Lepisosteus oculatus: one gene and its partners. The protein of the gene in region 1 binds, or shares a complex with, the protein of each later gene. Links are inferred from orthologs where the notes say so. Each region holds a gene or a part of one and is shown in the gene's direction. Other genes may lie near its edges.

Evidence for each region. Proteins that work in one complex are often made in the same cells at the same time.
Region 2: the proteins of metal transporter CNNM3 (region 1) and ptp4a2b are in contact, whole or in part, in a crystal structure (PDB 5K25), measured with the Homo sapiens proteins. The link is inferred for Lepisosteus oculatus from reciprocal best matches to the Homo sapiens genes CNNM3 and PTP4A2. Residues at the interface, in NP_060093.3 of Homo sapiens: Leu390, His391, Phe392, Val393, Phe394, Asp396, Thr397, Glu405, Ala414, Gln417, Val419, Glu424, Gly425, Asp426, Pro427, Phe428, Tyr429; in NP_001356788.1 of Homo sapiens: Met1, Asn2, Arg3, Pro4, Asp69, Gly70, Cys101, Ala103, Leu105, Gly106, Arg107, Arg134, Arg135, Gly136, Ala137, Phe138, Asn139, Lys141, Gln142.
Region 3: the proteins of metal transporter CNNM3 (region 1) and ptp4a3b are in contact, whole or in part, in a crystal structure (PDB 5TSR), measured with the Homo sapiens proteins. The link is inferred for Lepisosteus oculatus from reciprocal best matches to the Homo sapiens genes CNNM3 and PTP4A3. Residues at the interface, in NP_060093.3 of Homo sapiens: Ser357, Asn358, Phe394, Asp396, Lys418, Val419, Asn421, Glu424, Gly425, Asp426, Pro427, Phe428, Tyr429; in NP_001425170.1 of Homo sapiens: Asn5, Pro7, Asp72, Gly73, Ala74, Val105, Ala106, Leu108, Gly109, Arg110, Arg137, Arg138, Gly139, Ala140, Ile141, Asn142, Lys144, Gln145.

Annotation. Positions count from the first base shown.
Region 1 is NC_090697.1:69,772,914-69,780,512, forward strand, and holds the start of metal transporter CNNM3, read left to right. Parts: upstream 1-4,583; 5' UTR 4,584-5,007; coding exon 5,008-6,409; intron 6,410-7,599. UniProt on the Homo sapiens protein: Probable metal transporter.
Region 2 is NC_090706.1:1,404,791-1,412,780, reverse strand, and holds the start of ptp4a2b (protein tyrosine phosphatase type IVA 2), read left to right. Parts: upstream 1-4,985; 5' UTR 4,986-5,185; intron 5,186-7,990.
Region 3 is NC_090705.1:32,846,888-32,854,710, forward strand, and holds the start of ptp4a3b (protein tyrosine phosphatase type IVA 3), read left to right. Parts: upstream 1-4,818; 5' UTR 4,819-4,967; intron 4,968-5,684; exon of another isoform or gene 5,685-5,773; intron 5,774-7,823. UniProt on the Homo sapiens protein: Protein tyrosine phosphatase which stimulates progression from G1 into S phase during mitosis. Enhances cell proliferation, cell motility and invasive activity, and promotes cancer metastasis.

The DNA of each region.
Region 1 (7,599 bases):
ACTTTGAATAACGATGTGCATTCATTAAAGTGCTTAAACGAGCACTGAAAACCAGTAGGCCCTGTGCGAACAGTGTCAGTATGCCAGTGCTAGGACATCGGCTTTTCTTGCCTGTCCTCCTGTTGTGTAAACTGCTCTGGGCTGGAGGGGAAGAGAAGCCAGTGGAACAGCTGTCTCAGCCCTGACCTGTTGCCCACCCGTTCTCTCTGCCAAAGAATCTGGCCTAGTTTTGCAAAACCAAATTAGCTATGTATAGGTACAGTATTTCCCCTTCAGGAAACAACATGAATGATTAACATTCCTCCTGTTTTGTTAAACATGAATGATGGTAATGTTTTATCCAGATTAAAGTGTTTGTGGCACACAGTTTATGAGTGATGACAATTCTCAGTACTGTTACCTTTGTATTTCAGAACACCGTGTCAATAACTGTGACGAACAATCGTATTTTGTGATTACAAATGCTGTTTTTTATTTTTATGTGGGTGGGGGGGGGTGAGGAGAGGTATTTGAAGTTGACATTTTCTCCCCTCTGTTACTTTGGCATGCTTTAAATAATGTGTACATATTGTTTTATAATTGCTGTCTTAACACATTTTGAAGAAGAAAAGTTTATTAATAAACGTGATATATTTCTCTATTAATATTCGATTGTGTTTCTTACGTCTGTCTCTGCTGCTATCTTGCACCCTTGGCTATCAGGAAAGAGCACCCAGATAACAGGGTGGTACAGTATGAATAGGAGGGCTCCGGTTACATGGAAAACTCCAGTTCACTCACTGTGCAGACCTCAGTGCCCTGTCTGTTTCACTGCAGAAGCAGAAAATGAAATTCAAAAAGCCTCAGATAAAATTCACCCCTGGGCCAACACCTGCCCGATGATGCTGAATGTAGACAAGTGGGGGGGTTTTGCAAGCAGATAGTAAAACTCTACAGAGCTACAATAGAAAAGGCTATGAAACAGGCATAGATGTTCATGTTGACACATCATCCACATCTTCTAGTCTCTAGACAATGTGGGGAAGCAATTAAAAAGGCGAGATAAAGTTCGTATTTTTAGCAAAAACAGAGAATTGAAATCAAGGGATGTTATGCTAAAATTGTATAACATAAAATCAGACGTCATTTAGAATATTATGCTAATATTAAACTGATGTCAAATTTTAGTTGCCATGTTATAAAGAGGTTGTTGCTGCACTGAATCTGTCCAGAGAAGAGCAACCAGATACATTTATCTGTATTTAAAACTGAGAACAGGAGGGACTACTTTACCCAAAGGGTGGTGGGAGCGTACAGCAAGCGGCCCAGCCTGCACTGGCTGAGGCTCATATGTTCAGTTTCAAATTCAAACAGCTTTATTAGCATGACCGATGAGTTACAGTGTTGCCAAAGCAAGTACGACCGACACGACATCTAGAGACATTTACAATACAAACACATTGTAGGACATGTACGTACAACAAGCAGCACATAGAGCATGACTGGGAGACAGGCTCACCCTCTGTTCCTCAGCCAGCTCTGTTGAGTTGAGGTGCAGGAATTCTGGGATTAGATTTATTTGGGGGAAGAACGTTTGTCTGATCCCTGAGTGTTTCTCACAGCGCAGTTGAAAGTACATCTCTGTCTCTATTTCTCCCAGCTGGCAGTGGGAGCACAGCCTGTTCTTTCTGGGCAGCCAGGTCTGTCTTTGTTGCCCAGTTACTATGGCCAGATTGTGGTCACTCATATGGCCTCTTTCTGGCCAGTGATCATGAGGCGATGGGTAAGTGGGGTTGGTGTATCCAACTGCATGCAGATGACCAGGTGTCACAGTCCTCTGTCCCTCCTTCCTGTGTCCTTCATCTGTCCTCGCTGGCCCAGAGGTCCAGTCCCAACCTGGTCAGCACCCGCACACTGTCTCACGCGTCGGCTCTGATCGTGTGGTAACCAACGGGTGTCCAGGCGAACTGCATCACTTAATCTGTGCAGATTGTCGTCTGCTGTCCAGTTTGCGCTAGGGTCAAACCCTGACAAAACACATATGTGTAACTTAAGTAAACAACCCCCCCAAACCGCTCTCCTACAACAACTTTTGTCACCCCGCGGCAACCGCAGTATCAAAGAAAAAACTCTGTGGTATTAAAGGTGTCGCATGATTTGTACAAGCAGGGAAACGGCACAATAAATCCAGGTTTTCTCGGAACTGATGAGGACCCAGTCACAATACGTGATGTTTTGGTTGCGGGTGTTTGTGTAAAAACAAAACCCGGTCTGGCCTGAGAAGTAGCCAGGCAACGCGCTGAAGACAATCCACGCCACGGGATACAAACGGTGAGCGATTCACGCGTGGGTTGCGGTGTCAAACGGCATCCTTCCTCGGCGACGTCTGTTGTTGCTGCTGTGTGAAGTAAATGTTGTCATTGTCCCAGCGTTAGGCAGAGCCATCAGCGCTGCCAGAGTTATTTTCTCCTGTGGCCATGACTGACTCCGGCTGCTTCTGCGGACCCTTCGTGCAGCGCTGTAGTATTTTCTTACTTCTGTTGCCGAACAAGCGCCGTATCAATTCAGTATCCCCCCCGATACCCATGAAAGTCTTTCCACCATCCGCGTGATTTTTTTCATCATCCACATACAGTATATATGACGCATATGTAACAGATAAGGACAAAACATGCCCTTGCGTGCCTTCTTTGGGGCTCACCTGTCTTGTGTAGAGATGAAGTAAACCTTCATTCCGGTCATTTTTTACATTACTCAAATCACGACCAAAAACGTCCCCGTCGATATCATTAGTTTTTAGAAAGTTATGCGGAGCGCATTTCGGAAGGGAATACACAAGATTGGTGTATCCACGGGTTGCCGAATTGGATACGACATCTGTGTCACGGCTTCAAAGAGGCTACACGACGCTATGAAAGATTCATATTAGTTTATGACTGTTCAATACACAGACGTAAAAAAGTAAATATATGCGCAATAATACAGAATGTTTATCATAGAAGTGTTCGTAGTATGTTTTAGGGATAGAGTCGGGTTTTGACTTGAGATGTCATTGGAAATACTTCTTGACCGGACTTGTCTTATGGAAACAAAGATGTTATAAAGCGCCGTGAGAGGCATTATATGTTGCCTCTGTGAAGATGTAACTATCTTATTTATTTTTTTTTGTCTTCCAGCCTATATAATCAGGGTTTTAGGACTTTTTCTCCCTGTTACAGTCTAGAGCTACTCGGCTCTGGTAATGTCTGAGTGCCCTCTCTGAGTTAAGAATTGTGCGCCACAGGCCTTGAAACTATTAACCCAGCGAACATCGCAGCGCCTCAAGGTGGTAACATGGGTTAGTGTTTTAAGCCGTAATGATAGTTTTCGGAAGACTGAGTAGGGAGTTATGTATGCGAAAGTTGTAAACGTCACCGTCTGCCTTGCAGTTTACGGAACATTTCCATTTACCACGGGATTTAAATTTAATTTGCAAGCATAATATAGAGTACATCACATTATCCAGCTTCAATAACACGAACAATGTGGTCAGCAATAACGGCGTTTGGGGAAGGGAACCGCAACTAAATGTCGCAAGAAATTGAAAATGGGAATCATTTCCAGTATCCGTAGTAACGGTGCAGCGTATCAAAGACAAAGAGTTGCAAAATATTTTAAAATGTTTGTTTTTTTTTTACCCCTCAATGAAATTAGCCTAATCAATAATGGTGATGATCGTACCTTTATAAAACAGAGATGTAGTTCATGAACACTCCACTAAAAATGTTTCCATTATAAAAACATCAAGTGACTTTGAGATACTTTGTACGATCTCCGTTGGGAGTCGGCAGCTCCAGTACTACAAAACTGGTTCTCCCAACTCGTCAAATATCTCTACTAAAACTTCCAAACACCCCTTTCCTAAATCTTTTAATAATAATAATGTAACGCTTACGGCCGACAGGCACTGTGTAAGAGCCGGCGTACCAGAGCAGGTGATGTCACCGCCCTTCCCTGTGATAGCAGGACCACAGCTACTGGGCTGGGGAGAGATCTCTCTTTGGCTCACGGGGCTAGGTCGCTGCAGAGAGACGAAGGAGTCCCGGGTTCGAGCCCCGGACGGTGCCGGGGCCGAACAGATGCGGCAAGGGCGCCCGCCTGAGCCCCCGTTGCGTTACAATAATATTAATAATTGCTTACACTTATATAGCGCTTTTCTGGACACTCCTCAAAGCGCTTTACAGGTAATGGGGACTCCCCTCCACCACCACCAATGTGCAGCATCCACCCATGTAATATTCAGTACATGATACAGCATCAGAAGGGCTGCGTTCTGCACGGTCATGCATGAAAATGAAAACTGACTTCCTTACAGATTGCATCTGCAAAAAGAAGTCAGATGGGGAGGATTAAAACTCTGAGATCTCTTTGCCAAACCGTGGACCAGGACCTCGCAGATGAACGGGCAAAACAGCTCAGAAGGGCGTCTGCGACGCAAACGTAGAAATCAAGATCGCTAAACGAACCGAGAGCTCGTTCCTGGCCTGTTGTAGTATGTGTCCTAACTTGTGTTTAAATGTTCATGAAAGTTGCGTTTTTATTTCTGGAAATAATTATGGAAAACAGATGAAGATTGATTTTTTTTAAAAAAAGCACACAAGAAAAACACACGCCGCGCCTTTAAATGCAGGATCCAAGCTTGACCCCGAGACTGCAGCAACACGACTTGTTTACAACACAGCGACACCGAACTTGACAAAGGGAGGAGGGTGCAGAATGCCCTTTCCCTGTTTCTATTGGTCGTCAAAATTCCTTCTGTCTTTCTATTGGTTTTCAGTTTTCCATCTTCCTCTCATTGGCTGTTGTTAGCAAGCGTGTCAAAGGAATTGAAGTCCGGGTGCCATTGTGGCTCAAACAGTGAAGGAGTGAGTCGTTTGTCCGCTGTCGGAGATTTCGGATCCAAAATGGTGATAAAAATGAAAGAGTTCCACAAAATAAGATGTGCTTCTTGACGAATCTTCCTCTGGACTGATACGGTGTAACGCCGAGATGGTGTCACATGACTCGCACAGAGCCCAGCTGCCCAATTCCAATATGGTGGCCAGCTTGGCAGGCTTAAGTTTCTCGTTGATTAATTTGTTCCTCTGCGGGTTGGGGTTCGGCGCCTGCAGCCAACAAGCTCCGCGGGTGTTGGGGCTGAGGCTGGAGGACCCGGGGGCGCTGGTGTTCATGCGCCACCGGGTCATAACAGCACATTACGGAGCTACTTTCCAGCTGAGGCTCTTCGGGTCTTACCTGCTTAATGAGACCTGGCCGTGGGTTGCGTTCGCGGAGGAAGCAGAAGGGGAGGATGGCGGTGCCACCGACCCGTGCAAAGACGAGAGCGGACGGAGCTCGGCTCTCTTTCAACTCCGGGGGCCATTTCTAGAGGCCGAGGAGCACAGCGCCCTAATAACCGTGCAGGCTGCAGAAAGCAGCAGCATCTCCGGTGAGCACGCCAGGAGTTCTTATCATCGCTTGTGCGCCCGGGACGGCGTCAGATGGGTTACGGCTGGCCAGGATAGGCTGGTTCTAGCAGACGACCCGCAGCCCGATTTCATCCCGGTCTGGGGTTTGGCTTTGGCCATCGTCCTCCTGCTCTTCGCCTGCGCCCTGTTCCAGATTCTGAAGCTGAGCCTGCTGGGGCTGGACCCGCTGGAACTGTACGTGCTGCACACCTGCGGGTCCGAGCGGGAGAAGAAAACGGCGAAGCGGCTGGAGCCCCTGCGCCGGCGGGGTAACTTTCTCCTGTGCTCGCTGCTCTTTCTGTGCGCCCTGGGCTACTCCGCTCTCGGCGTGCTCTTCTACCGAGCCCTGGGCGCCCTGCTCCCCGCCGTCTTCCTCTGCGGGCTCCTGGTGTTCGTCATCAGCGGGCTGCTGCCTCACGTTCTGTGCTCCGGCTGCGGGTTCCAGCTGGCCCCGGGGGTGGCGTGGCTGGGGCAGGCGTGCATGGTCCTGACCTGCCCGCTGTCCTGCCCCCTGGGGCTCCTGCTGGACCTGGCACTGGGCAGGGACGTCAGCTCGTGCCACGTGCGGGAGAAGGTCATGGAGATGATGAGGACCAGCGACCCCTACAACGAGTTCGTGAAGGAGGAGTTCAGCCGGGGGGCGCTGCGGACCAAGACGGTGGAGGACATCCTGACGCCCCTGAAGGACTGCTTCATGCTGTCCTCCGGCGCTGTGCTGGACTTCAACACCATGTCCGAGATCATGCAGAGCGGCTACACCCGGGTGCCCATCTACGAGGACGAGCGCTCCAACATCGTGGACATCCTGTACCTCAAGGACCTGGCCCTGGTGGACCCGGAGGACCGCACGCCCATGAGCACCATCACCAAGTTCTACAACCACCCGCTGCACTTCGTCTTCAACGACACCAAGCTGGACGCCATGCTGGAGGAGTTCAAGAAAGGTAGGGTTGCCGCTGTGCACCCTCTGGGTCCGCCCGCCCGGCGCCCCCTGCAGTCTGGGAGGGCAGCAGCAAGGTAGAATCCGGGCCAGCCAGCCAACGCCAAGGCCTCGAGGACAGAGTGGCGGGGATTGAAACTCTCTAGCGTGGACCCCGGGCAGTAGCGTAGGCACTCAGAAGGCCTGTCCGCCTTGTGTCCAGTAAGCGCAGTGAGCAGGTTGCATCACCAGGCTTCACTCGTGCAGCACAGTGGTGAGAGTTGCAGAACTATCTGGCTGCCAGCTGAGGGGGGGTCACAGGTGCAGCCTGTCTGATTCAGGTCTGATCCCTGTGGGTCACTCCTCCCCCCTTTGAGATTGTGATGGAGAATGAATGGGGTTCAGGCCCGACTCGGGAGCGGAACCTCGTAGAACGTTACGATCGCACGCCACAGCCACTAACTCCCACTCTGCCTAGTCTACTGATTGGGCCAGGATAGCGATTGCTTGCTCTTGTAACCATGCTAGACCTTCCTTGGAGGATGTCTGTCAAGTAATCGTGGGACTCCTGCCTTAGGGGGTGGCACGGTGCGCAGCGCTGGGGCCCTGGGTTCCACTTCTGGGTTGCTGTCTGCGTGGAGTTTGTATGTCCCCCTCAAACTGGTCTTGGGGGTTTTCTCCAGGTGCTCTGGTTTCCTCTCGCAGTCCAAAGACATACTGGTAGATTCATTGGCTTCTGGGAAGATTGACCCTGGTGTGAGTGTGTGTGCCCTGTGATGGACTGGTGTCCTGTCCAGGGAGTATCCTGCCTTGTGCCCATTGCTTGCTGGGATAGACTTTGGCTCCCCCTTGACCCTGTATAGGATAAAGTGGTTAGAAAATGTGTGGATTGTTGTGCAGAGTTTAGGTCATTGCTGTATGGTTTTACCTTTGCTGAAGTCTGTGTTTTTACTATACAGTATGTTGATCTATGAAGGCCAACATTAAGATCCGTTTGTCCCCTCACGGGCAGTTTTTGCTGTTGATGAGAACGGATGCTCAGTCTGTGGTTTTACTAGTATTCACCATGTTGTGCTTTTCAGTAATTTGTTTGAAAAATATCAATGTCAAAATCTGTTCTTAATGAGCTGGCACTGTGCAATCGATTCATACCTTGCAGGCGCTGCTGGTCTAGAGTTTCAACGACAGGTGTCGATCGCTGCCCCTTACAGAGCT
Region 2 (7,990 bases), on another chromosome or scaffold:
TTTTGGCAGAGACAGAATACCATCCTACAATTTTCAAAGGCATGAGAGTTAAGAGTCAATACAGTTAGCATTTTTTGTCTCAATTTGCAAACTGATATGTGCTACGTTTTCTACTAGGTCGTTAAAACCATGTCCAGACTAATACCCACATGGCCCTGAGTGTTTGGCTTGTGTAGATGTTTTCATGTGGGGGCGATGATAAGATAGGGCTTCTGAGTCAATGTTTGGCTTCCTCCTCTTTCCCTTGAAGTCTAAAGTCTTGTCTTGGCTGGAAGGTGTCAGGAGAACCCAATGGCTGTAGCTCCAGTGTACTCTTGGTAGTGTCTTCAGTGGCGAAGGGGGGGACAACAGGGCTCGAAGAGATTGCAGGTTCTGTCCTGGACGCAGAGGCCGGAGGTCGAGATTGTGCAACAGCGAAATGACCCCGATCGAGACCGAGAGTGGCCTGAGAGAGGGATGACGGCGTGTGCCTTAATTATCCTTGGATCACTTGGAACTGGATCACAGAAACATGCACACGCACGCAATGATGACCGAATGTAAAACCGCTGCAGGTGGGCATTGCCATGGGGTGATGGGATAAAGTGAACTGCAGTTAGATTGTTCCCAGGCGTGATGTCCAGGCACAATGCACACTCCGGTGCTGTCCCCCCGCAGCTTCGCGGCACGTTACCGAAATCCTCGCGCTTGGCTCGTGTCATGGCGGCCGGTAGAAAAGCGAAGTCTCGATGAGAGGGCCGACAGCAGTCTGTGTCGTGCGTGAAGCAACCCCGGCTCCCGCTGGGATCGGAGCGCGCTTGCTCCCCTCTCTGAGCAGCGGGCAATGACTTCACACCGCAGGACCGAGCCTCCGCGCGGGCGAGTCTCCGGAGGGGGTGAAGTCATTTCCGCGGCTCTGCTCCCGCGGGAACCCTGTGACGTCAGCACACGCGCTTCGGCAGCTGAGGTAAAGTAGTTTGGTTTTTTTTAGAGGAAGGTGAAGCTAGATCAGGCAGGTTTTCTGCACTTTTCAAGGGGGAACGCCATCGCTTTTATCCTTTCGTTGTCATGTCCAGTGTTGCCGGGAACTCCAGTATTAGGTTTCGAGCTTTATTTTCGTTTATTTGTGGTCCATTAAAGAGATGGTAATCGCTTAAAAAAAGTGAAAAATCTCTACGTCGACGCCTTTTAGGTTGCTGGTGAATAACGCTTAAATGGATTGCCTATACTTAATTTAAGGACCCTTTGCTACAGCGTAGTTTACAGTGCATTGAGGAATATCTGGGTTGTGAGATGTCTAGTCATGCGTTCGAAGCCAAGATCCTCTCAAGAAAGAGCTGCTCGAGGGTCTCGGATCAGTTAGCTACTGAAAACCAAATAGGCTGTTTGAACCGCAGGCCCCTCTCGTCCGCCATCCCTCTGACTTCATATCTAGTGCCATTGAGATGTAAGATGGAAACTAGGCTATTAAATACACTTCCCCGTACTATAGAACGTTTTTAGCGAATGTCTGTTGAGTTTTCCTTCTTCCTTGCAAATGTATTCTTTTGCTGATTATGACAGGGGACAATGTGATGGTCGCGACCATCTTTTTACATGAAAGTGAAGAATGTGAGAGGAAGCTTGGAGAGAAGAACAACAGCCCTCTGCATTGCTTCGGGACTGACGGGAGTGCTTCCCAAAATGATTCAGTTACACCCCATCTTTTCATCTGTAGACTCTGGTTTCCAAGCGTTTATAGTCAATAGATTGTAGGTGGTGGGGGAAGAAACAAACAGATTCCCACGTTCTTATAAGGACAATCCGTGAGCGGTAAAGTGGATTTTGAACAGTGAAGCGAGCCTTATGATTTAAAAAAAAAAGTACAGCCCTCCAAACATCGGGAAAACTTCACAAAAACTCTTTTTTTTAAGGAACGCGACCAATCTAAACTAACGGGGCGTGCATTCTAATGGATCGGAGTCAAGCAAGTGTATAATACTGTCAAAACTAATCCGTGGTGGCCGAGTCACAAGACTCAGCTCTATACGTGTTCCAAAAATACGGCTCTAACTCTTTTTGTATTTACTTTAACTTCTAAAGCCTGTTAGCTTGATTTAAAAGAAATACATGCTTGTCCGACAGTATTTCCCTTCCAGTATTTCCGAATTGCACTCCCTCGCACTGTTGTATACTTTGCAGTTAACGAAAAAGGCTTGTAAATGATCATTATTGTGACATTCCTAGACAATGCAAGGCATGTTCTTGTTATTTATGCTGGTTTTTATTTTTATTTTTGTTTTTCCTTTATTTTGTGTACTCCAAGAATGACATGCTGTACAACTTACTCATACCCATTTCTTAGCAGGTGTCATGAAGAAGGATGCATGGTATTGTGTGTTTTTGTCACTTCCCCCTCTGGAAGTATGTAAATGTTACAAAGCAAATTTAAGCAGGTATTTAGTGCTCATATAATGAAAGACTACTTTAGAAAATACAGCTAAGAAAAAGTGCCTTATTTAGATTCCTAAGGGATATTGTATTTTTTTCTTTTGGATTAGAAAATTGGCCCATTGCATTACCATTTGCACAAAACAAGACATTGTAAAACTATGTTTCTTCTTGTATAATGACAACAATTCTACAACTGGATATCTAAATCAAAAAGTCTGTATTTGCTAAAAGGATATGTGACTGCCTCTACATTTTTCAAATGAGTAATCAGTGCACCTTGGTGCTGATTTTGAAGGATTGCTTTTATGTAAGTTCTGTTTTCTGTCTAATGTACTATGTAGCAAACTATAGGATATTTGTTTTTTCTTTGAAATTGTCTATTACATGCACTGTCTGTAATAGGAAGTGGGTATAAAATGCACTCCTGTTTTTCTTGTGATTTTAAAAGATTTTTTTCTTTTGAAACTAAAACTACAGTACTTGATTGTATTGATACCACATCAATAAAGAGTATCTTGTATATGTGTTTTGTCTCCTTATTACTTATATTATTATTTTCATTAGTGTGGTGTAGTATTATAATAGGGTAACTAGTCAGAATTGCAATAGTACAATTTAAGAGACTTAACTCACTGGTTTTGCCTGGAAAAAATGATTGAATCACCAAATGTTCCCCTCACATAAAATATCCTTCCAGACTGCCTTCAAACCTAGAAATGATAAATAAACATATGATCCTACAGGAGAGTGCCAAAATATTTGTAGATCTCTGAAAATATCCCACAGGGAACATCCTGCAGGACTTTTTCAGGAAAAATAATGGAATCCCGAAGAAGCCTTTTGGGATATGATAGAGATTTTACCCCCAGAATATAAAAGATTCTAGAGGCATTCTGCAGGACATGTTTGAATCATGCAGAATTTGCATGCAGGGACTAAATCATATCTTTAAAAAAATGACTGACTGAGGCATGCGAAAAAAGAATGGGATTTTACTGTATATCCATCTTATTTGAATTTCAGTGCACATTGTAGAAGACTACAATACTCATGAAAACCGACTGCGGTTAAATCACGCTGCACAGGACTGTTTGAGCTCTGGGTACAAGTGTATACATACTGTACAAGTGTATCACTTCAGAGTCATGCACAGTATTTCCCAACGATCGGCTCCCGTACACGGGGTGTATTTGTCATGAGAAATGATGCAATGATTTGGGGACGAACAAGATTCCAACACAGATGTGCCTTGCAAGTGATGTCCTGTGAAAGGTTTATTCTATTGGATCCAGAACAGTGGGTTTCATTTTTTTCGCTTGTTATAACTTATTTTCCCCCAGTGGGTGGCAGTATCATAAGCTCTTGGGACACAAGAGTGTCCTAGAAAAGATGTTGTGTAGTGGGCAAATAGCCCTGGCGCCTCACAGCCCCCCAGTCCTGGGTTGAAGTCGAGATGGGTGGAGTTTGCATGTTCTTCCTAGGAGAACATCTAGCTCCCACCCCCCACCCCCCCATGTGAGTTTTCTCTGGCTTCTCCCATTTCCCCCCACAAACCAGAGACATGTTGTCTGGAGTAGCTGACATGTCTACAATGTCTTAATATCTACTTGTTAAGATCCATGCTTGCATTTCAGCATTGCAAATAATATCACCAGATATCACCAAAACCTAACATACGAAATCAAACAGAGCCTGGCCAAACCATTACCAAGAGGCTTTCAACAAATTAGATTAAAATAATTGTTTTCCTTTCTCATTCTCATCTAAAAAGATTGGAAAGGGTTCCAAATAAATACTGTGTGCATTCTTGTTGGGAACTTAAAACAATAAGGGGGCTTATTTTGATGTTATTGTGGGAATACACAAAGTTTCCATTGAAATGAATCCAAACTCTTTTACTTTCACTCGAAGCCGAGTAAAACTCCATTATTTCAAACCATCAGCTTTATTTCACATGAGGGACAACCTAATTATAATAACTAGTTTATTGATCTTGATGCAAACGTTTTACCATATATACACTGCATTATTAGCGCAGTGTAAGTTGCACAGGTAAGTGAAAATAGGGTGCGCGGTGCACTTGCACAGAGTGACACATCGGTGCTATTGTCCTCAGTCACCTGATGAAGAAGAAATGTAAGCGGTCTCTGTCGTTCATTCTGACACACCCATGACTCATCAGCTGAAGGCGCTTCACGATAAAACAAGGCAACAGGGAGACCAACAGAGACAGCTGCCTGCAATAAACTGCAAACTGCAATAAACCTGATTAAAAGCCTCTGTATCCAAGCGAGTTTTAAGGGCGGGAGTTTTAAAAGCGCAGCAATAAAATTTTTCTTTTCCAACACCGAGCGTGCTGCAGTAAGGTGACACGCCCCTTTTTTTTCCCCCGCGTGGTTGTGATTTTTATGTTTGATGTTCTACGTCGCTTTTGTTTGTTTGTTTGTTTTCTTTTTCTTTCTTTCCTTCTTTGGACGCGAGGTCCCGCCTCGCGCTGGGGCCACCCAGGCCGCCGGCGCCGCCCCGTCGCTTTAACGTGTGTAGTACGTCACCGGCGCGGCGGGTGACGTGGAGCGCAGCCCCTCCCCGCCGGGGGGAGGGAACGAGCGAGCGCGAGAGGGAGGGAAGCAGGCAGGCTGGCTGGGTCGCTCGCGGCGCTCGGAGCAGACGACGACAACAACAGCGGCGGCAGCAGCAGCCAACGGTCACGGCAGTAAAACGTCCACTTTTCTCCGGGGGTTGTCACGGGATTTCAATGAGCAGCCTGCCCTTTGTAAGTCCGAGTCCCCGCTTTTCCTCCCGCCTCTTCCCTGGCTCCGGGGTGGCCCGTGTGTGCGCCGGGGAAAGTGAGGCGAGGCGGCAGCCATTAGGAGTGAGCGTCGGTATAATCCGCTGCCGCTCGCCGGTCTCATCTTTCGGCTCTAATTGCTTGTTGTTTTTTTTTTTTTTAAATAATTCCGGTCTGTGGCTTGCACTGCCGGCGAAGGTGTTTTCCGTTTCCTTCGATCCTCTGCTCGTGTGTCGTGGTGGGTCCGGGCGAGGCTTTTTAATTCCGAAGGGGACAAAAAAGATGATATATAGACATACGTGTGTCTGATCCGAAAACGGCCTCACGACGTGTAGCTCCCTTTGTTGGGACTTCATAGTTCCAGCGATACGTGTGTGTGTGTATAGATATATTTTAGATGAAGTTGTACGTGTTTCGTGGGCGTTAGGGTTACTACTAGTTTGCTTGTTCGCAACTTCCTGATGTCTGTTTAAAGAAGAGTCTGTTTCCATGTGGAGGTTGCAAAGAAAAAAAAAACCTCAACGAAACTCCTTGAAGTAGTCTGAAAAATAATTATCCCATCGTGGCGAAAAACAAAAATAGCGTCCGTGGAGGAGGGGGACGAGTGCGAGTTTGTCGGGGTTCATTGGGAGGGGAGAACAAAGCCGTTTAAAAGGCTTTTTTTAAATTGGAAAAACGCGACGCGATGTGCTTGCTGGGTTAAAGGGATTTAAAAAAACCCGTGCGAGGCTTGAAGCCTGAGCTGTGCATATACATGGACTTGAGTCTGGGGAGGGAGAGAGACGGCCGACATCTTCTGAGTTGTGTGTGTGTGTATATATATAGTCTTGGCTTGCAAAGAAATCGGTTCTTTCGGAAGAGCATTGCATTGCAAGAGCCTTACAACGGGCTTGCACACATGCATGTATATTTACACGCCGTGTGTATGTATGGCTGTAGTTGTGTGCGCGAAATTGGCTGTCTGCTGTCGGGGGGGAGGGAGGGTAGGTCGTGAAACAGCTGTCACTGAAATGCGTCATCACCACGTTGAAACTCCGCTGCGAGCAGGCAGGACCAGCATCTCGCCTGCTGACGCGAGTCCGGCCTTTTTCTTTGGGTTTCGTAAGTCATTTGCAGAACAAGGAGCGGTGTGTAACTTGAAACTGAGGCGCAGAGCCTGGGCTGGCTGGCTGGGTCTGGATCTCCGCGCACTAATCGTCAGCACAGTAATCACAATAACAGGAATTGATGATGATGATGATGACCGCCGGGCGTCGTCTCCTGCCCCGGCTCTAGGTCACTTGCCCTTGTGCGGGAATCCACGCCACGGTCAGCGGTGTCCCGGCCTGGGGCCCGCTCGTGCAGATTCACGGGCTGCCACGGCCCTGCTGAGTGGACGAAGGTGTTGTTTTATTTAATTGTTGTTTAAAAGGGGGAGTTATCTGTGCGCCCTTGATGACGGAGGGGGCAGATCTCTGAAGGTTTCGCTTTCATTGTTCACGCGGCTCTCAGCTGGGGCGGCCAGCCCACTCCGCGAGTGGCGTGGGGGGCTCTCCGGATATTTGCATGCAGCTGTCGGCGTTGCGGTTCGGGACGTGGAGGGTGGTTGTTACCGGCGCCCCCCCCAGAAGGTCACTTGCTGTGAATCAGCATGCAGCCCCACCCCACACCCCTCGCTGGCTGGCTGGCCGGGTTGGTCGGTCGTCGCCGTGGTCAAGCCCGGCCAAGTGGCGTTTTGCGGTGTACATGCGGAGTGTCTCTGACCTGTCACCTGTCCGCAGCTCTCCGGCAGGGCGCCTCATTGAGACTGGCTGTGCTCCCCCACTCTCTCCTTTTAAATGTGTTTTTCGCAGGTGAAATTGTATGATTTTTTTAACATTGCTAAATGGACATCTTTTTTTAATCAAATCTTTAATTTACACTCCACTTCGGAAGTCCAGTGGGCCCTCTTTCTGTCTGGTGTTGTAAAGAGGCAGGGCTGGGGTAGGTTGCTGTTGTGTGATGTCCGGTGGAGGGGGCTACTTCTGTTGTTACTCCAGTGTGGAGGCCCTTGATGCCCATGCTTGCTCTTAGCTGGCTTGGTATTGGTGTTACTGTCGTGATCCTGACTGTCCTCTAAAGGTTGTTCTGAGGTACAGACGCAAACCCGGTGGTTGGCTACATCTGGGCCTGACTAAAACCGGTCCAAGGGGCTCCCCGCCGGCTGGGGCCGGGTCCGACTCTCTCCGGTTGCTGCGGTTCTGCTGTCGCACTTGTGTTCTCTGTGCACCAAATGTGCAGCTGCCTCAGCGCCTCCAGTCTGCATGTTTGAGCTACAGAAGTGCCTGGTTGTGCCCACGTGTTTCATGTGGTGCGTCTGTCTTTTGGAGTCTCCCAGCCCCTTCTCCTCCCTCACACTCTCCACCTGGCTCCTGGCTGGCTTCTCTCTCTCTCTCACAGAAGGGCTGGACATCTGACAATTAAAATATTTGAGATGTGTGACATGAAACCCCCCCCCAATGTCATATCCTTCTGCAATTTATTCTGGATAAATCGATCGAAACCCGTGTTGCTCGTTCAGGTCGTGGGAGTGGCCTGTAAGCCATCCTGCGTTTAATTTCGTCGTGTTTTACAGAGTGTCGGAGTGATGTTATAAGCCAGCTTCCTCCCCCACCCCCTCATCTTTTGTGTGCATAGTGTTCATGTGAGAGTGGGGTCAGTGTGCTGCTGTCTGTGGCTGGTGTTGTCATCCCCAGGGGGCTGCTGAAAGCCTCCAGCCTCGCTGCTGCTTCCCTGTAATGAAATGCTGCTTCTCAAAGATGTTTATTAAAT
Region 3 (7,823 bases), on another chromosome or scaffold:
GTATAGATACTGAACAGCTTTCCAATTACACATTAGTATCTTATGACTATTGACAATGTAAATATAAACTCCTTTAATACACCAGTTATTTCATTTTATTTGAATATTGTATGAGATTCTTTGTTACCTTATGGTTTTATGTTAGGTTGTGTTTAATGCTTTTAAATGTTAGGACACTGAGGCAAATTCCTAATTAAGGTGCTACAGCAATGAATCTTAAATATAGGCAAAATATAATGAATATATACCAGAATGTACAGTGGTGCAATGGTTTACATTGTTGCCTCCGCTCTGGAGCTCTGTGTTCAGTTCCTGGGACGCTATCTGTGTGGAGTCTGTATGTTCTCCTCGTGTTCGTGTCGGTTTCATCCCACAGTGGCAGGTTAATTTTTATCTGGGGAAAGTGGCCCTGGTGTGAGTGTGTGTTTGTCTGCCTGGCGCACATTACATGCTGAGAACAGGCTCTGGCTCCCCTGCAAACCTATAATGGATAAAGTGGTTAGAAAAGAAATAGATACTGTAACAGTATATTCAGTATTCCAGTGTAATAGAAGTGAAACAAAGCTTCTTATTTATTTGTATATATGTTTTGTATTTTGTTATATCAAACAAATTGCAATTTGGAAACTTTTAGTTTTGGTCTGGTGAGACGAGCACTGTTTGTGTTAAGACAAAAAACTTATGTTTTTTTTTATTAGATAAACTACATTAATACATGAGAAAACGCAGCTGACCTAAGCATATAGTTTTAGGAGATGTTAGGGCATGTTTAATCGGAACCGTTTGAGTGAAATTTGTCTTCCCTTTCAGTTTCTATTGGATATTTCTGAAGATGAGAGTTTACAAGATTTTTAATGTTACACCTCTGGCACATGGGAAAATAAACCACGTTTTTCACATCCTAGGCTGAATGTTGCTTTAAATTTCTCTCATGTGAGCATCCATAAATGAAACCCCCTGTACTAAAACAAGATCAATACAAATCCTTGTGCAGATTAGTTTTATTAAGAATTAAATGCATATACTTTGTTCATAAAAAGAAAAACTGATTATGCTATGAGCTTTGGGTTACACCAGAATTCCACCCAATAATGAAAACAAGTTAAAGATATAATGAGGATATATATATATACTGCATACTTTGATATGTGAATACATTTAGATATTCAGGTGCAACAGACACTAGATGGCACTACTTCACTGGTGGATGTGAGTAATAAACTAAATTTACTGTTCAGTATCTTCTCAAGCACTACCATGTTTCTGATTTGCTCTGATCTTTATTAATTTGTGAGTCAATGTTATACTGAAAAATTACTGATCTAATTTGAACATGGATTCCACTACAGCTACGTTTTTATAGATGCAGACAGTCCAAAGTAAAAAAAAATACCTGGGTCTTATGTGGCTGGTGACTTTCAAATTCCAAAGGGTCTTAAATTTGTACATATTTATCTTAATATTTTTTGGAGGAATCTGAGTGAAATTCTAGTCAAACACCAATGCCTCACTCAGGATGTGGGCCTAATACCATTCAGGAAACCTAACCACTATTTCACACTGCTGTATAGGATTTATAATGCACAAATATAAGTCCCTAAGATACAATGTTCTCTTTATAACTGTAATTCAATAATTATCATGTCTTTTAATATTGATATTCTACCAAAGTGACAAATTCAAGTGATTTTGATCATGTTTACCCAGCTCCTTGAGATCCCTAACATTCTGTGATAAACTTCAGTAGTTAAGCAACAATGGGGTGGCATTGTGGTCTTGGGGTGCTATTGTGCATGAGATTTGCATGTTCTCCCAGTGTTTGCATGTTTTGTCCAGTTGCTCCAGCTTTCTCCCACAGTCTAGAGACATACTGAAGGGTTAATTGGTTTCTGTAAACATGGAGTGAGTGTGTGCGTTTCTGTGTGCCGTTCAGGGTGTACCCCACCTTGTGCCCAGTGCATGCTGGGACAGGCACTTGGACACTGTGAGTCTGAATTGGATGAGTGGCTATTGAAAGTGATGTGGTCATGTGATTTGCACTATGCGCCAATTCAGGTCTCCCAGCATTGTTTTCATTGCTTACAGATTAATTCCCTGCCACTGGTGGCAGGGTGCTTGGCACTGGTCTCTCGTGGCTCTTGGATCCTGGGTCCAGTTCTGACCTTTTTGTGGAGTTTGAAGGATGAAGGTGCCAACACAAGGGTTTTTTCCAGGTGCCTCCTCACATTCCAAATACCTGCTTTCCAAGTTAATTAGCACAGGGACAATTTGGTGTGACTGTGTGGAGAAGGAGTCATTTCTTGTGGTCTTGTGACTGCCAGGTTATGTTCAGGCTTAATGCAACCCTTGAAGGATAAAACAAGAAACTGAACAGAAATGAATCAAAGTATTTCCTTCCATATACTAAAAATACCAAACTGGGCAAGTATAAACACTTGATTCCTTAAAAGGTTATAGACAGTTTTAACTAAAGTGATGGGGGGGAAAAAATTAAATAACGCTAAATTGTAAAGCAAAACTTAAGTTTCTAACATATGTTGCAGCTTCTGGAGTTACATAACGGGGAAAACAGACATTAAGTATTATAGCATGAGTGTGAAGGTAGTCCTGGCTAGAATGCTTTACATTACTTAGGCAGCTGGAAGGGGTATTAATTAACAAGTGTTTGAATTTCATTTTGGTGGCTGATTTAAGGCCTCATTAGGCTCTGCTGACAGACTCTGAAGCCTCATAAAAGTAATGAAGGGATCATCATAAAAGATCATTCCCTGGCTAATTCTGATTCAATGTCATTATCTGGATGAGAGTCATTTTATTAAAAATCTTTTTATTTATTGAAAATGTACATTGGAATGCAGACATTATGTGTACATTTTTAATATGTGAGGTGTAGTGGTCAATTAATACCATTTATAACTAAATTCTTCTAGTTATTATCTTTGAAGTGTGTATGTGTGTTGGTATATGTATACCTTTTAATTTCATTTTATATCATTTTGGATGAATTCAGCACTGAATTAGTTCCACTGTTTCCAGTGTAACAGATCACAGTATAAAAGTTCTGACCTGATGAGTTGCATGTAACAGTAGCTTAAAACCATTTTCATACTGTGTACACTACACTTTAATTGTATTACTAATCCTTCTGGATTTTATGACTCTATTATGAAGTTTCTATATTACACTATAGAAATATATGACACTATATTGAAGTTTGCATTTAAAGTGGCTCTATTAATGTTCTGGCCTGTCTTCCCAATCAAGCATCTTAAAGCACTCCATTGTGGCTGTAAAAGGGTTTATCATCTTTCTCTATCCTTAGCCCTAACCCCTTGTGCAGCTTTGGCACCTCTGTAATAATAAATGATACTGACTAGATCAGTGTAGTTTTCTCAGTACTTTCATGCTTTAGAGATCCTTACAAAATACTTCTAATCAATAAATCTGGAGTTCAAAACTACAACCCATTCTTCGTGTTTGAAGGGCGGTCCATGGTACTTATTCAATTCTCTGGAATTCTCTGCTTATTCCCTGAACTGGATACTGCAGTTGGGGGCGGGTGTTTAATTTAAAAAGAAAGTAATCCTGGAGATTTACAAGGTGGTGATCAATTTTTGTGTAAAGGTATCACAACAGTGATCCCCTGTTTTCCCCCATACACTTAGTAGAAACCTGTGCCAATGTGTCTTTATACAGTAGTCCTCTTCTTTTTATAACGCCACTCAATACTTCATCCGTCAGTAATTTCCTATTCTATATTTGCTTGACTGCATGTTTTACTCCTTCCAGAAAAAAAAAAAACATCCAGTACTTCATCCGTGACCAGGTGAAATCTGTTTGATCTTCATTTGCACTATATTGTTGTTAAGAGCTCTTTTTTGGCATTCATTTTTCTTGACAATAACTTTGGGGCTTTTGACTATGGTTACATCGTCTCCATTTATTGCCACATTCTGCTTTTTCTGGTCTAATCTTTAAGTTTTGTTGCATTTTATTTTCAACTGTTTTCCCAGTTCAATCATCTTATGACCTCTTTGACGTATTTGTTAAATTTTCAGTGTTCAATGCATTTGGATTTTAAATTGAGTTCATTTTTTCCATTAACCTTGTAGTGTTATGTAATTAGGTAACGTATATTAGCACTGGGTTTAAATATTCATCGGAAGAAATCCGTGTAAGATAGTGTTTGCTATAACCTTGATTGGAAAGTAAATTTGTGCGTTTGTGCTTGTTTCAATTTTAATCTGATTATCGGAGCGTTGTGAATTTAATTGTCATTACCAATAAATCCTCTGCATCTTGCTTATTCCGCTAAACTTTTATTTTCCCTTTTTCCTTTGTGTGCTGCTACTGTGTAATTACATCTTAGATGTTAAGAAGCGTCTCCTAATCACGAGTAGTTTGGTAGACGCCTGAGTTAATTAACCTTTCGCAGAATTAATTTTGTCTTGAATATTTGCATCATTTTCATCCTCAAGAACCGATATATACATATATTTAATTCCGCAATATTACTCCGAGTTATATCTCCCTCAAGAGCACCGATCTCGTTAAAATGGCCTTAAAAGACAATTTGGCTCACACGTTCAAAATGAATAGTGAATTGTCTTGGAGTATTGTAAACACCCGAGAATAAAATAGCTCCCAATAATGCTGTTTTGGGACGAACTGCCGAGGAAACCGCTATTTCACCAGACGTTTAATCCCGCCGCCAATTTCTTGAGTCCGCCCAACACTGCTCTTTGCAACTACGCAGCATGATGACAAAGCGCGTCCCCATGGAGACGGGAGGAGGGACAAAAATGTAATTTTGCTTCTGAAATCACATGGACCGAGTTTCGCTATGCTGCCCTATGACTAGCTCATGCGATATTGTGTAGTATGTCTGAATGCACAATTTAAAATAGAAGGGAGAGTATTTTGGTGGGGAGGAAGAAAAGAAAAGACGTTTTCCGTATTTGGCATTGGTGAGTAGGAAGATCTCCTCTCCTGGAGGAAAGAAGGGAGTGTGAATACCTGGCTCTGAGTCTCGGACGAGCAGATCGTGGCTGCTCGGATTTGATTCAGGGCCAGTATTGTATATGCAGAAAATGTACTTTTGCATGTCTTCTTCCGAGAAGATGGTTCTTGTATGTTCCGGTGAATGCGATGTGCAAATGTCTTTTTTTTTTTACCGATTGTTAAAACAACACATCCGACTGCTTGGTTTGAATCCGGCGTGCTGGGGGGTGAAGGCAACAGGTTTAAGGGAATGATGAAAATAATTTAGCCAATATAGATTCTCCACGTTATCTGCACCGATCCAGGAAAGGACAATGTTGAAAATGAGAAATTGGAAATACTCAGGTCAAAGGAACCGTTTAACCTACAAAGAAAGGGTCCTTACCGGAAACAAAGAACGTGCAATGCTCATTACAAAGGGTGTCTGCAGGCGATAAAGCTATTGCACTGACTCCACTATAATTAACAGATGAGTGCTAATTAGCCGGTAGATTCATAAAAATGTGCTGCAATATAAATTGCTCGCCTTTCAAGTGTAGAAAGATGAATCTCAATCCGTTTGTGATGAAACAATGGAGATGTCTATTACAGTAGGGAGAAATACAGATAAAGGCAGTGTGGTGAGATGTAGGTCTAATACAATACAGAATTTACAATATTTTCTGTCTAAACGGCTGTATATTTTAAAACGTTAATCGACAATCCTCCCCAACAAAAACAGATAAAGGCGTTTTCCTTTTTATGGAAAGCGTGTGACTTTGGTGTTGGCAAGGTTAGTAGAAAATTAATTTTTGAGACCTTGTTGTAGCTCTTTTACCAGAAAGAAGAAAAAAGCAATTAAAACAAAAGACAGCAGACGTACATATTGTATTACAGCATGCCCTATATATTTTTTAATGTGGTAAACTCTAAATCTGTTTAAAACGTTTCATTGTAGATTTTGTAAAAGTAAACAAGTGGTAGATTAATTTGAGTAACAGCTGTTTCTCAGTATGACAAAATGGGAGAACAATGATAATTACGGTTGGATAATGTCAATAAAAACGAGTGAAAATTTTAGTATTGTCGATCTATTCTCACTTTTTCTACTGCAGATAGGAAAATGGAAAAAGGAGTTTTTTGTTGTATGGGTATTAGAATGTTATTTTGTTAATTTATCATATTTAAGGCACCTATATTTGAAGTCTTCAGATAAACAGTTAGTTAGTATTGGATGATGGATTATCATTTTCCCACAAGGGAATGCTTTTAATACAATTTATTTCAGTCATAATAGATTTCCACACTTGCTTTGACTGTTGCATTGCAAACTATTTTAAGTAAGTCTATGTAAGTGCCCAGTCTCAGCTAGGAAAATCATCTTGTTGTTTGAAATGCCAGGAAGAGAAACAATGCTCTGCAGACTTCTGAATATGTTAATTTGTTAACTAATTGCATTTTAATTCTAAAAAAATCAAGTCCACTAAGGAGAGTGCCCACAACAACCACCTGTATTTTTAAAATGCACACATTCCTTAATTAGAGCTTTCCTTTGTGGTTATGTATTTTAAAAATGAAAGATATAAAACACTTCATATTTTTACATGTTTGCTAGCACCTTATTATATAGGCTGACTTATACTGCATGTCCCAGATACAGCAGTGTTTTGTTTCTCTAGAACTAGGAAAAAATTAAAGTAGTTGTAGTACAGTGCCTTGGATGAAGTGGGCCAAAGATCTTCTCAGACTTTAACAGTTATTATTCAAGAGCACTGAGATTAACAGAGAGAAATAGGCCTGTGTTAACGTTAAACTTTGTGATTAGTTTTCGGTGATTGCCGTTTTACATTGTTTGGGACTTTGAGATTGATTCCTGGTTCCAAATGACTGGAACAGGTTACACAGTGGGCTTTTTCTCTCCTCTCTCAGTAATCAAACATGGAGCCTAGGTCTATCCTAAAAACCTTCCTCTGGGTTCGGGTTAAAAATAAGAGTGAAATGTAGACTTTAGGAGGGAAATAAAGAAACAGCCTTTCCTGTCTAGTCAAAGGTAGAATACGTCCTCCTCATCGTGGTTAAAGGAAATATTGCCATTTCCACTACACAGTGCTCTGTGCCTTCGTTTGTCAAATATTGTTTGAACAGAATCAGATCAAATGTATCTGTAACCAGGTGTTTCCAGGGGCTTCTAAATGAAAAGCACACAAAATGAGAAACTACAGTTTTTCACCAACCACATCCTGTTTTTCATACAGGCTTGGAGAAAAACTCATGTCAATGTAAATGAACGTACATTACTCTTTTGTTGCAAGATTGTTTTCATCTCCGACAGCCAGTACGTCATTTTGGAAGACCTGGTGTATTGTAGTTCCTTATGTTAAATTGGAAGGTCTCACGAGAGGTTTAGAAGAATGGGGTGATTTGAACCAAAGAGGTCCAAATTATCAGCAACAGAACTTGTGACACAGGAGAATTCAGTCTTTCATGAAATTGAAGGTTTATGTCCAGGAGTGACAAACGTAGTGCTGGGATTTCACCTCTTTTTTTGTGTGTAAAATGCTTTAATTAAAAATCAGTTCTGTTTTATACGGTATTTCTTCCTTAAAAAAAACAACAAATGTATTGAGATTTATAAAAAGTTAATTCAGGGCTGTTCGTATGAAGTCATCCTAATTTTAAAGGGTCGTCTTTCATTTCTGTGACTGGAACCAAATTGGCGGCGTCCTCTTAAAGTAATGGAAATTGCCACCTCTTACCTGTAGTATAATGTAAACGTGGAGAGTTGTCATAGTGAATATTGTGTTTTCTTTTGACTGAAATGAAGGGCATTATTTTAGAAGTGG